3 linked regions of the Sus scrofa genome follow. The protein of the gene in region 2 binds, or shares a complex with, the protein of the main gene of each other region. Links are inferred from orthologs where the notes say so. Each region holds a gene or a part of one and is shown on either strand. Other genes may lie near its edges.

Region 1 (3,752 bases), on a different chromosome or scaffold from region 2:
AGTTTCATGACAGAAGCAAGACAGGTTAAGTCCTAGATCATAGAAGGCTTTGTATGCCATTCCAGATAGGCTGAATTTTTATACTGTTGGGAATGAGGAGTCTAGAGTTCTAAAGCGGTAATTAACATCAACAGATTTAGGGTTCAGTAAATTCCTTCTTGTGGTAGAGAAAATAATGAATTGAAGAATTACCAGACCAGAGTGTTAAAGACACTACTACAACAGTGCAAGCAAAAGCTGAGGAGATCTCGGAGTTCCCGTCGTGGCACAGTGGAAATGAATCCAACTAGGAACCATGGGGTTGTAGGTTCTATCCCTGGCCTCGCTCAGTGGGTTAAGGATCCAGAGTTGCCATGAGCTGTGGTGTAGGTTGCAGAGGCTGCTCAGATTTGGCATTACTGTGGCTGAAGCATAGGCTGGTAGCCGTAGCTCTGATTACACCCCTAGCCTAGGAATCTCCATAAGCCTCGGGTGAAGGCCTAAAAAAAGCGAAGGAAAAAAAAAAAAGAATTGAGGAAATCTGAAACTAAACCAGAATCAGGTGACCAACTGAACAGAGAAGACATAGGAGAGAAAGGAGTGTAGGAAAACTCTGGTTTCTGGTTTAGGTTATAAATATAGTGGTAGCATCAACTTGGTGAAACAAAAAAAGCCAGGTGAAAAGACAGCAAGTTCAGTTTTGGTTGAGTTTGAGGGGCCTTTGTGGTAACCAGCTAGAAGTGTCCAGGTCTTACCAGATCTGAGATGAAACTGAAATTTAAGAATGAATGCTTACCAGGTCTGAGATGAAACTGAAATTTAAGAATGAATGCTTAGGCATTAGTGGAACACTTGTGTGTGGATGAAATCAGCCAAAGAAAATGGACAGACTAAGAAATTAAGGAATGAATCCCAGAGAATGGCATTTAAAAAGTAGGCAAAGCCAGTGGGGAAAAAAAAAAAGAAGGAATGAATGATGATGAGCTTCATCTATCAAAGAGAGGCTAAATAAATTTTGAGAAGAAACTCCTGGATTTGGCCATAAGAAATTTAAGCAAGAACAACTTCATGAAGCCATTAGAGGAATTCAGATAACTGAGTGCTGAGGATGAAAGTAAAGAGCTGAATTTGATACAAATGGAAGCACTATGCTTTCAAGCAGTTTACTGATAAATGGGAGGACTAGGCAATAAACTGAACGAACACAGGCTGGGGGTGTGCTTTTGTTTTATTTCATTTTCTTAAGGTGTATGGCTTGAACACGGGGGGGGGGGTGGGGGGAGAAGGAAATGGTGAGGAAGAGGCTGAAAGCACAGGAAAGAAAAAAATATAACCAAAAGCAGAAAGTCCTATAAGGAATGGGAGGGAATAAAATCTAGAGCAAAGATGGAAGCATTATCCTTCAATACCTGTTTCTCTGAACTAGAAACACAAGACCTAACAGAGAAAGAAGGGGTGGTGGGTGGATCTCTGTTTGTTGTTGCTGTTCTTTCTTTCTAGAGCCACACCTGTGGCATATATAAGTTCCCTCGCTAGGAGTCCAATCCGAAGCCTACACCACAGCAATGCCAGGTTCTGGCTAAATCCTAAGCGGCAGCTTGCAGCAATGCCAGATCCTTCACCCACTGAGCGAGGCCAGGGATCAAACCCACATCCTCATGGATACTACTCTGGTTTTTAATGCATAGAGCCACAACGGGAACTCTGGGTGGGTCTCCATATTTAATTTCATAGCCATACCTGGCATTCTCGAACATGTGATCGAATGAAAATCATCTATAGGCTTTTTTAAAAATGCAAATATGGAGCCTGTTTCTATTCATGCAGAATTTCTGAAGGTGAAGCTCTAGCAAGTGAATTTTCCAGAAGTGATTTCCAAGTGATATTATGGAGTATTCCTGTTAAAAGGTAATCAACTGTATAATTTAGGGCTAGTGCAAAATGCAGCTATTATTAGGTGGCCCTTAGGGTGTGGAACGGTACTCGGCCCTCAAGAGAGCAAAGACTACAGGATTCAGAGAGATTCGGATCAGTCATGAAAAAGTCAAATAAACATCACCACATACTTTTAAATGAAGCGTGTTAAAGTGAAGCTGAGAGGTTGAAAAAAATGCAATGATGAAAAATGCATACATCTCCAATGTTTGACCGAAATAAGGTCTCACCTCAGACTACTAGACTCCGTGTCTTAGCCTTAAACTTCCTGTCACAATACTCTACAGGCTCAGCAGGACCAAAGTGTAATTCAGGGTGCTGCAAGAAGTAGGGAAAGCGAGGAAATTGCACGGACAGTTCCTGGAAAGGGACAAAGAAATAACCAGCCGAAGGTAGAAGCGATCTGGATGCCTCTCAACGCCCAGACGCCCCAGGACCTGGGACAAAGCATAAACAAGACCGCGATGCCTTTCTTCTGACACCGCCTTGCACTCACCATCGCCTCGGGATCTCAGCACCAGGAAATAGGTAACTTTGCGACTGGAAAACACCTACACCAACACCAACGCCAGGTTACTCTGGCAACAGAGCCCCACCTACTGCCGGACTCGGAGCGGGCCGCCACTACCCCGCCCCTTTGTCCTTAGTGGCTGGGAGTAAATAGAGCTCCGCCCACCCAGCCGACCGACCCGCCCCTTCACGCCGTAGCTTGGAGCAACGGAACACCACCTACCTCTTTCCAGCATCATCACTTCCGTTTGGTTGAAAGGCGACCCGGAAGTTCAGGCTTATATGCGGCTAGGGTCCAAGTATTCTTTTTTTTATTTTTTAATAAGAGTCTACCCAGTTTTGTTTTACTGAAGTCTTGAATCGTATATTCTGCGTCACTGCGTCACTTGAGTTTAAATGGCACCAAAAGTGTTTTCCTTCTGAAAAGTATTCCGGAAACGAAACCCTGAGTAATCGGAAGTAATTAGCCGTGAACCAAAAGCTTGATGTCCCCAAGGTTGGGGCGGATCGGCTTCGGAATGCTAGAGGAGTGTGCGCGGAAGTTAACCCGTGATATCTAGCCAAAGAACCTGTAAAGTGAGGCCCCCTGCAATTGGGAGAGTAAGAATCTGAGAGGTAAGTCCAGGAAAGGGCTTGTGTAACTGAGAGGGGATTTTGGAAAGGGACAGAGGTTTGGATTGAAGTGTGTTGTTCATTCAGTCGCTTTAGATTTAAGGAAAGGTTGCCCGTTGTTCCAGGAAGGTTTGTTCAGACAGGGACGGAACTTTGGATTTGACTTCTGGGGATGGCAGAGGTTGACAGGATTGTCGCTTCCACTCCTGCCACCTTCATACCTGTTACACACTCCAGACCCACCCCCACCCCCTTCAATTAGTATTTGCCTGCAGACCTTTGTACATTTCCCTGCGCATCTTCCGAGGGTTCATTGCTCTTGCGAAGGGTCTTTGGAGAGCTATTTTTCAGAACAGTGGCGGCGGGGGTGTGACTTTTAAGGAAGGTAGGCACGGAAGACGCTATGCTGAGTTATATCGAGTACTCAAGAGTTATCATTTTTGTGAGTGAAACCATTTGTCATCTAGTGCCTGGTTCATCATTCGTGATCACTGCATTAGTATTACCTTCCTTCTCATGTTCTCGCCTGAATCTTAGTAAGACTAAGATTTAGTAAGGTCATGCATACATTCTGAAAATATATGCTATGACATTTTAATTTTTACCAAGAAATGCAAATTAAGTTATTATGAATTTTTTGTCACTTGTTAAACATCTAAACAGAAGCTCCTCTGTCATGTAGTGAACAAAATAGTGTCCATGTCTCCTGAGAAGGT
Region 2 (3,652 bases):
TCACCTTCCATCAAATATTTTCCCCAGTCAAAATCATCTTTCTTCTCTAAAATATAATAGAAGAATCTCATCAGCTTTATCAAAAACATGTAGGAGAAACTCTGAAATTATAGTAAAAAATCTAACAATGCACAAAATAAAATACACTTGGGAAATAAGAGATCAAAAATACTGAAACACTCCATAAACTGACATTCTATAACACAGTTAACATTTTTTCATCCTCAAAAATAATTTTTCTTGGAGTTCCCATCGTAGCTCATCGGAATCGAATCCGACTAGAAACCATGAGGTTGTAGATTCAATCCCCGGCTTCACTTAGTTGGTTAAGGATCCTGCATTGCCGTAAGCTATGGTGTGGGTCATAGGCTCAGCTCAGATCTCGTGCTGCTGTGGCTGTGGTGAAGGCCAGCAGCTACAGCTCTGATTCGAATCCTAGCCTGGGAACCTCGATATGCCACAATGCTGCCCTAAAAAGGACAAAAAAAAAAAAAAAAAAAAAAAAAAAAGGAGTTCCTGTTGTGGTGCAGTGGAAACGAATCCAACGAGGAACCATGAGGTTCGAGTTCCATCCCTGGCCTTCCTCAGTGTGTTAAGGATTCAGAGTTGCCATGAGCTGTGGTGTAGGTCACAGATGCAGCTGGGATCTGGCATTGCTGTGGCTGTGGTATAGGCTGGCAGCTACAGCTCCAATTCGAGCCCTAGCCTGGGAACCTCCATATGCCTTGGGTTCGGCCTTAAAAAGACAAAAAAAAAAAAAAAAAGAAATTTTCTCTTTCATAGAACTGAAAGTAGTTTAACTTACTAAGTCAGAATTTATATTGTAAATGAAATGAAAATCACAACTGCATTCAAGGCAACAGAAATATTTCAGTTTCAAGACTTTTTACAACTTTTTATTTAGTAACGTACCCACTTCTTTATTTCTTGGTGTTTCCACGTAATTGCTGTTTGAAGGAGAATCAGACAGACATAGAAGAAGTGACAGTATGGAATAATGGGCATCTGTCTTTAAAACAAGAAATGAAAAACATGATTCACAGAGGTTGGTAAGAGCTTTCTAAACTTGTTCAAGAAAAGATAACCTCATGACAGTTAGGTCCTCAGTTTTTCCCCCCTGGTTTGAGAAAACATAAATCATACCTAAAAAAAAACCACAATCTCAATCTCTAAACTTGTTTTTATAGTTCAAACATGTACAGATAAGGAACCTGTCAAATAATGTATTACCTGAATCATATACAATAATTGTTAGACAAACCTAAATTGAAGGACAAGCTACCAAATAATTAGCCTGCTCTCTTCAATAATGTCAAGGTCAACAAAAGAAAGGGTGGGGAGTTCCCTTTGTGGCTCAGTGGGTTAAGAATACGACTAGCATCCAAGAGGATGCGGGTTTAATCCCTGGCCTCACCCCAGGATCCGGCATTGTCGTGAGCGATAGTGTAGGTTGCAGATGTGGCTTGGATCCCATGTTGCTGTGGCTGTGGCGTAGGGGATCCAATTCAACCTCTAGCCTAGGAACTTCCATATGCCGCAAGTGCGGCCCTAAAAAAAATTTAAAAATTTAAAAATTAAGGAGTTCCTGTTGTGGTGCAGTGGTTAACGAATCCGACTAGGAACCATGAGGTTGCGGGTTCGGTCCCTGCCCTTGCTCAGTGGGTTAACGATCCGAATCCGACTAGGAACCATGAGGTTGCGGGTTCGGTCCCTGCCCTTGCTCAGTGGGTTAACGATCCGGCGTTGCAGTGAGCTGTGGTGTAGATTGCAGACACGGCTCGGATCCCCAGTTGCTGTGGCTCTGGAGTAGGCTTACAGCAACAGCTCCAATTAGACCCCTATCCTGGGAATCTCCATATGCCACGGGAGCAGCCCAAGAAATGGCAAAAAGACAAAATAAATAAATAAATAATAAAAAGATACCAAATGTTGCTATGGTATGGGCTGGTAGCTGCATCTCTGATTCAATCCCTAGCCTGGGAACTTCCATATTCCACAGGGGCAGCCCTAAAAAAGCGAAATAAATAAATAAATAATTTAAAATAAATTATAAAAACTGCCAAAAAATACAAGTACTCCAAATATGCTGAAAGTCATAAACTATGCATGGAAAGATGAGATGAATTAAATTCAAGGATGGTAAGGGCAATCTCATGCAAGCCTTCCCTTTCAAATGTTCTATAGTACTGTATATGGTATTTATAATTACAATTAAATAACTATTCAATAACTACTTGGGCAGTGATGACCATCTCTTGTTTATTCTGTATTCCTACCACCCAGTGATGTTAGGGACACAGCAGATACTCGGTAGACTTTCCTGGGCATGATAAGCCAATACATCACTAATAAGACCACATGCACCTGCCCTTCTGTGAATAATCTCTCCACTTGGAAATGCCTTAAATTCTCTTATTCCCCAGAGAAAGGTGGTCTAAAATGTAAATACCCGAAGAAAATAATTCTCAATACATAAATTATTTAGTAGTAGTAATTGCTAATGTCAATTGTTTACTTTGGAAGGACTCTGTACACCAGAAAACAGGTGAATATAACCAGTGAAAGAGAACCACACACAGTAAAAGACCTCCCTGCTTTGCCAGGGACCAGAACTGCTACCCTGTAGCTGTGTGGAGATGCCCCAAAGCAGCACATGGTCCTGCGAAGAGGACCTGGTTGATGCTATTCCTCTACCCCTGCACTTCTTTATTTCACTAAAATCTATAAGGGAGCTTGACACCTAGAGGACTCATTAATTGAAGTAATCACTGAACTAAAAATTAGCACTAATGGCCAAAACCTAATCTATCAATCAGCTAATATGATGCTTTCACCAAAGTCACTAAATGTATTGAAGAAAAAGAAGATGGGCGAGTTCCCATCATGGCTCAGTGGTTAACGAACCTGACTAGCATCCATGAGGACATGGGTTTGATCCCTGGCCTCACTCAGTGGGTTAAGGATCAGGCATTGCCATGAGCTGTGGTATAAGTAGCAGGCACAGCTCAGATCCTGCGTTGATCTGGCTGTGGTGTAGGCCAGCGGCTATAGCTCTGTTTCTACCCCTAGCCTGGGAATCTCCATATGCCACAGGTACTGGGAATGAATGGAAAGAAAGAAAGAGAAAAAAAAGAAAGAAAAAAATTCTGTGAATCCTTCCAACATATCATTAAGCCTAAGAGACCCATGACTAAATATGGAAGTGCTCAGAACAGCACCTGACATCTATATAGATAGTTATTACTGCCAAGTGCCATTTAAAAGTTTTAAGACAGCCAGACAGTGCTATTATTTGTGCCAGTCTCTGATCTCAATGTCCATAATAGGTTGGGGCTAAGATGATTAAATAAGAACATACTTCTTTCATCACAAGCCTGAGGCACACTGATTTGATGGCAACACAAGTCAACTTCCACGAGAATCTGGTTCTCTTCAGTGGATAATAATACTAAAATAGAATGACTGTTAAATGTGAATAGAAACAGGCTGACGATAATCAGATTGGAAACAGTAAAATACAACCAAGATCTCACAATACAGCATACCTTTATTTCCTTTATACTTGGAAGAGATGCATTTAGAAATTCATCAGTTAATCTCTTCCAACTAGCAGCTTTGCTGAGATCAGAATGAATGATGAATTTTTCATAAA
Region 3 (3,652 bases), on a different chromosome or scaffold from region 2:
AGTTTCTAGAAGTAAGTAAGGGGAAGACAGTATTACATGCCAGTTTTCATATGCAGTATTATATGAACTAAAAATGGAAGTATGTGCATGTTTTTAAATGTTACAAGATTTTTTTAAAAATTCCTTCTGTCCTTTTTCAGTTCTGCTTGAGATTTCAAGAATTTTGAATACTGGATTAGATATGGAAACTCTGTCTATATGTGTCCGGCTCTGCGAACAAGGAATTAACCCAGAAGCTTTATCTTCAGTTATTAAGGAACTTCGCAAGGCCACTGAAGCATTAAAGGTAGAGAGATTCGTGTGTTAGCTCACTCTAAATAAAGATGCTTTCGTTTAGAAAATGATTAATGATGAAGTTAAGTGCAAGGCCCTGAACGTGATTAAACTAGCATCTGTCGTCCTCAGGAGAAATTCTGAAGACCAGGAGCTGGGTGGCATGTGTTCAAATCACAAAATTTGCTACTCTCTGGACCATGTTATCTTTTCTGGTCCAGATAAGTCTCCAATTGTGTTTAGAATTTTCCTCATACTGTGGGTAAAATTGTATCTGCCCCCAAAAAGATATGCATGGGTCTAGTGCCTGTGAATATATCCTTATTTGGAAATAGTGTATCTATAGGTATAATCACATTAGGATGAGATCGTAATGGTTTCATGACCAGTGTCCTTAGAAGACAAGGGACATGTGGACGTGGATACACATGTGGACATGGATACATATGAAGACACAGGAGAGAATGCATGGGATGACCCAGGCTGAGATTGGAGTGATGGTGTCTACAAGCCAAAGAAGGCCCAGCAGAAGCTAAGAGGCAAGGAAGGATGCTGCCCTAGAGCCTTCAGAGAGAGAATGGTCCTGCTGACACCTTGGCTTTGGACTTCTGCCTCCAGAACTATGAGAGCATAAATTTCTATTGTTTTAAGCTACCCAGCTTCTGGTACTTGGTTAGGGCAGCCCTAGAAATCTAATACAGATTGACTACTGGAAAGTAGAGTACTGCTGTAAGAAATAACTAAGAAATGTGGACATGGCTTTGGAATTGGGTAATGGATAGAAATTGGAAAGTTTTAAGAGGCTTGATAGAAAAAGCCTAGATTTTAAGGCTGTCGTAAAACTCTAAGTGTTAAAGGTGATTCTCCTGAGGGCTCAGAAAGAAGAGAGAAGAGCTTCAGTCATCTCAGAATACATATATCATCATGAACAGAATCTTGCTAAAAATATGAATGTGAAAGGTGCTGCTGATGAAGTCTCAGAAATGAGTTCATCAGTTGGGGACACTGGAAGAGAGGCCATCCTTGCTATAAAGAACACTTGGCTGAGTTATATTCTGTTGGAAGGAAAACAAAACTTGTGGACTTCCCATTGTGGCTCAGCAGTAACGAACCCGACTAGTACCCATGAGAACATGGGTTTGATCCCAGGTGTCCCTGGGTTAAGGGAGCTAGCATTGCTATGAGCTGTGGTGTAGGTAGTAGATGTGGCTCATATCTGGCGTTGCCATGGCTGTGGTATAGGCCAGCATCTGTAGCTCTTTTTCAGCCCCTGGCCTGGGAACTTCCATATGCCACACATGCGGCCCTAAAAAGCAAAACAAACCTTTTAAGCAGTGACTTGAATATCCAGCTAAGGAAATTTCCTAACAAAGTGTGGAAAGTGCAGCCTGATTTCTCCTTGCTGCTTATAGTAAAATGTAAGAGGAATGAGAAATTGAGGAAAAACTGGTAAGCAAAGAGGAGCTGGCTCTTGCATTGGGAAAGTCTCAGCCTACCCAGACAGCATGTTCTGGAAAGAAGGCTGGGAGTGTGGCTGGACAACCTTTAGGTGAAGAGATAATAAGGTTGTGTGACTCAGATACAGTCAGGCTATCTGGGCACAAAACCATGCCAGCTTGGGCTGAAAGGGAACAGTGCAGGACGAAGTGCAGGAAGGCTCTGAGACTTCTGGGATTCAGTAGGCAGAAAGCTGACTGATGGAGCTCCCTGCCTGTGTGTTCATCCTTCAAGAAAAGGGAAGAGTCCAGAGGCCAGCACACTGCTTAGGCCGATAGAGCTGCACAGGCAATACGGACCCAGAGGGCCACCTATTTTTGAATTCAAATTCACAACTTTGTTTTCTTTTTAGGGCCACATCCATGGCATATGGAAGTTCCCAGGCTGGGGTCAAATCAGCACTGCAGCTGGGGGCCACAGCCACAGCAACACTAGATCCAAGCCACATCTGCTATCTACACCACAGCTCACATCAACGCCAGATCCTTAACCCGCTGACTGACACCAGGGATCGAGCCTGTGTCCTCATGGATACTAGTCTGGTTCGTTTCCGCAGAGCCACGAGAACTCCCAAATTTACAACCTTTTAATTGCCGAGATTGGGAATAGGAAAAGTGTCGTGTTCCCTCACATGCTTCACACCCTCTGATTTAAAATCTCAGGTGATTGTATTTCCATGTTTATTTATTTATTTTTTTATTTTATTTTCCCACTGTACAGCAAGGGGATCAAGTTACCCTTACATGTATAAATTACAATTACATTTTTTTTCCCCACCCTTTGTTCTGTTGCAACATGAGTATCTAGACAAAATTCTCAATGCTACTCAGCAGGATCTCCTTGTAAATCTATTCTAAGTTGTGTCTGATAAGCCCAAGCTCCCGATCCCTCCCACTCCCTCCCCCTCCCATCAGGCAGCCATAAGTCTTTTCTCCAAGTCCATGATTTTCTTTTCTGAGGAGATGTTCATTTGTGCTGGATATTAGATTCCAGTTATAAGTGATATCATATGGTATTTGTCTTTGTCTTTCTGGCTCATTTCACTCAGTATGAGATTCTCTAGTTCCATCCATGTTGCTGCAAATGGCATGATGTCATTCTTTTTGATGGCTGAGTAGTATTCCATTGTGTATATATACCACATCTTCCGATCCAATCCTCTGTCGATGGACATTTGGATTGTTTCCATGTCCTGGCTATTGTGAATAGTGCTGCAATGAACATGCGGGTGCATGTGTCTCTTTTAAGTAGAGTTTTGTCCGGATAGTTGCCCAAGAGTGGGATTTAGGGTCATATGGAAGTTCTATGTATAGATTTCTAAGGTATCTCCAAACTGTTCTCCATAGTGGCTGTACCAGTTTACATTCCATGTTTATATAGCACTAACGCCACGTGAATACTGAAACTTCAGGTCAGTCCCTTTTAAAACTTTCTAAGGACAAAGTGGCTTCTCTCTACCCTTTTTTCTTTTCTTTGAGGAACAGACTTAGAAAACACATAGCTTACCCATCTCAGATGAAGTTACTCTCCAGTAATTTCCAATCATTTGAGTTTTTGGTTTTGTGTAATTTAAAACTTTTGGATTTTTATTTTATTTTATTTTTATTTATTTATTTATTTTTGTCTTTTTTGCCATTTCTTGGGCTGCTCCCGTGGCACATGGATGTTTGCAGGCTAGGGGTCGAATTGGAGCTGTAGCCACTGGCCTACACCACAGCCACAGCAACGTGGGATCTGAGCCATGTCTTCGACTTACACCACAGCTCACGGCAACACCACATCCTTAACCCACTGAGCAAGGCCAGGGATCGAACCCGCAACCTCATGGTTCCTAATCAGATTCGTTAACCACTTAGCCAGGATGGGAACTCCCAAACTTTTG

The links.
Region 1: TUBGCP5 (region 2) and NME7 share a complex: the UniProt entries of both Homo sapiens proteins name them as parts of the gamma-tubulin ring complex. The link is inferred for Sus scrofa from reciprocal best matches to the Homo sapiens genes TUBGCP5 and NME7.
Region 3: the proteins of TUBGCP5 (region 2) and MZT1 are in contact, whole or in part, in a crystal structure (PDB 6L81), measured with the Homo sapiens proteins. The link is inferred for Sus scrofa from reciprocal best matches to the Homo sapiens genes TUBGCP5 and MZT1. Residues at the interface, in NP_443135.3 of Homo sapiens: Gln14, Gln15, Asp18, Val19, Glu21, Leu22, Val23, Val26, Ala27, Gly28, Asn36, Ala40, Phe43, Ala44, Asn47, Phe48, Arg52, Phe53, Leu54, Phe72, Lys80, Ser83, Trp84, Leu87, Thr88, Glu90, Phe91, Ala106, Ser109, Ile110; in NP_001065243.1 of Homo sapiens: Glu23, Val27, Leu28, Glu30, Ile31, Ser32, Ile34, Leu35, Asn36, Thr37, Leu39, Leu44, Ile46, Cys47, Val48, Arg49, Leu50, Cys51, Glu52, Gln53, Ile55, Asn56, Pro57, Glu58, Ala59, Leu60, Ser61, Ser62, Val63, Ile64.

What each region holds. Positions count from the first base shown.
Region 1 is NC_010446.5:81,638,700-81,642,451, reverse strand, and holds the start of NME7 (nucleoside diphosphate kinase 7), read right to left. Parts: upstream 2,546-3,752; 5' UTR 2,414-2,545; coding exon 2,411-2,413; intron 2,275-2,410; exon of another isoform or gene 2,145-2,274; intron 1-2,144. UniProt on the Homo sapiens protein: Possesses an intrinsic kinase activity. Displays 3'-5' exonuclease activity with a preference for single-stranded DNA. Does not seem to have nucleoside diphosphate kinase activity.
Region 2 is NC_010457.5:31,998,712-32,002,363, reverse strand, and holds part of TUBGCP5 (gamma-tubulin complex component 5), read right to left. Parts: coding exon 3,546-3,652; intron 1,010-3,545; coding exon 913-1,009; intron 47-912; coding exon 1-46. UniProt on the Homo sapiens protein: Component of the gamma-tubulin ring complex (gTuRC) which mediates microtubule nucleation.
Region 3 is NC_010453.5:45,008,952-45,012,603, reverse strand, and holds part of MZT1 (mitotic-spindle organizing protein 1), read left to right. Parts: intron 1-140; coding exon 141-286; intron 287-3,652. UniProt on the Homo sapiens protein: Required for the recruitment and the assembly of the gamma-tubulin ring complex (gTuRC) at the centrosome.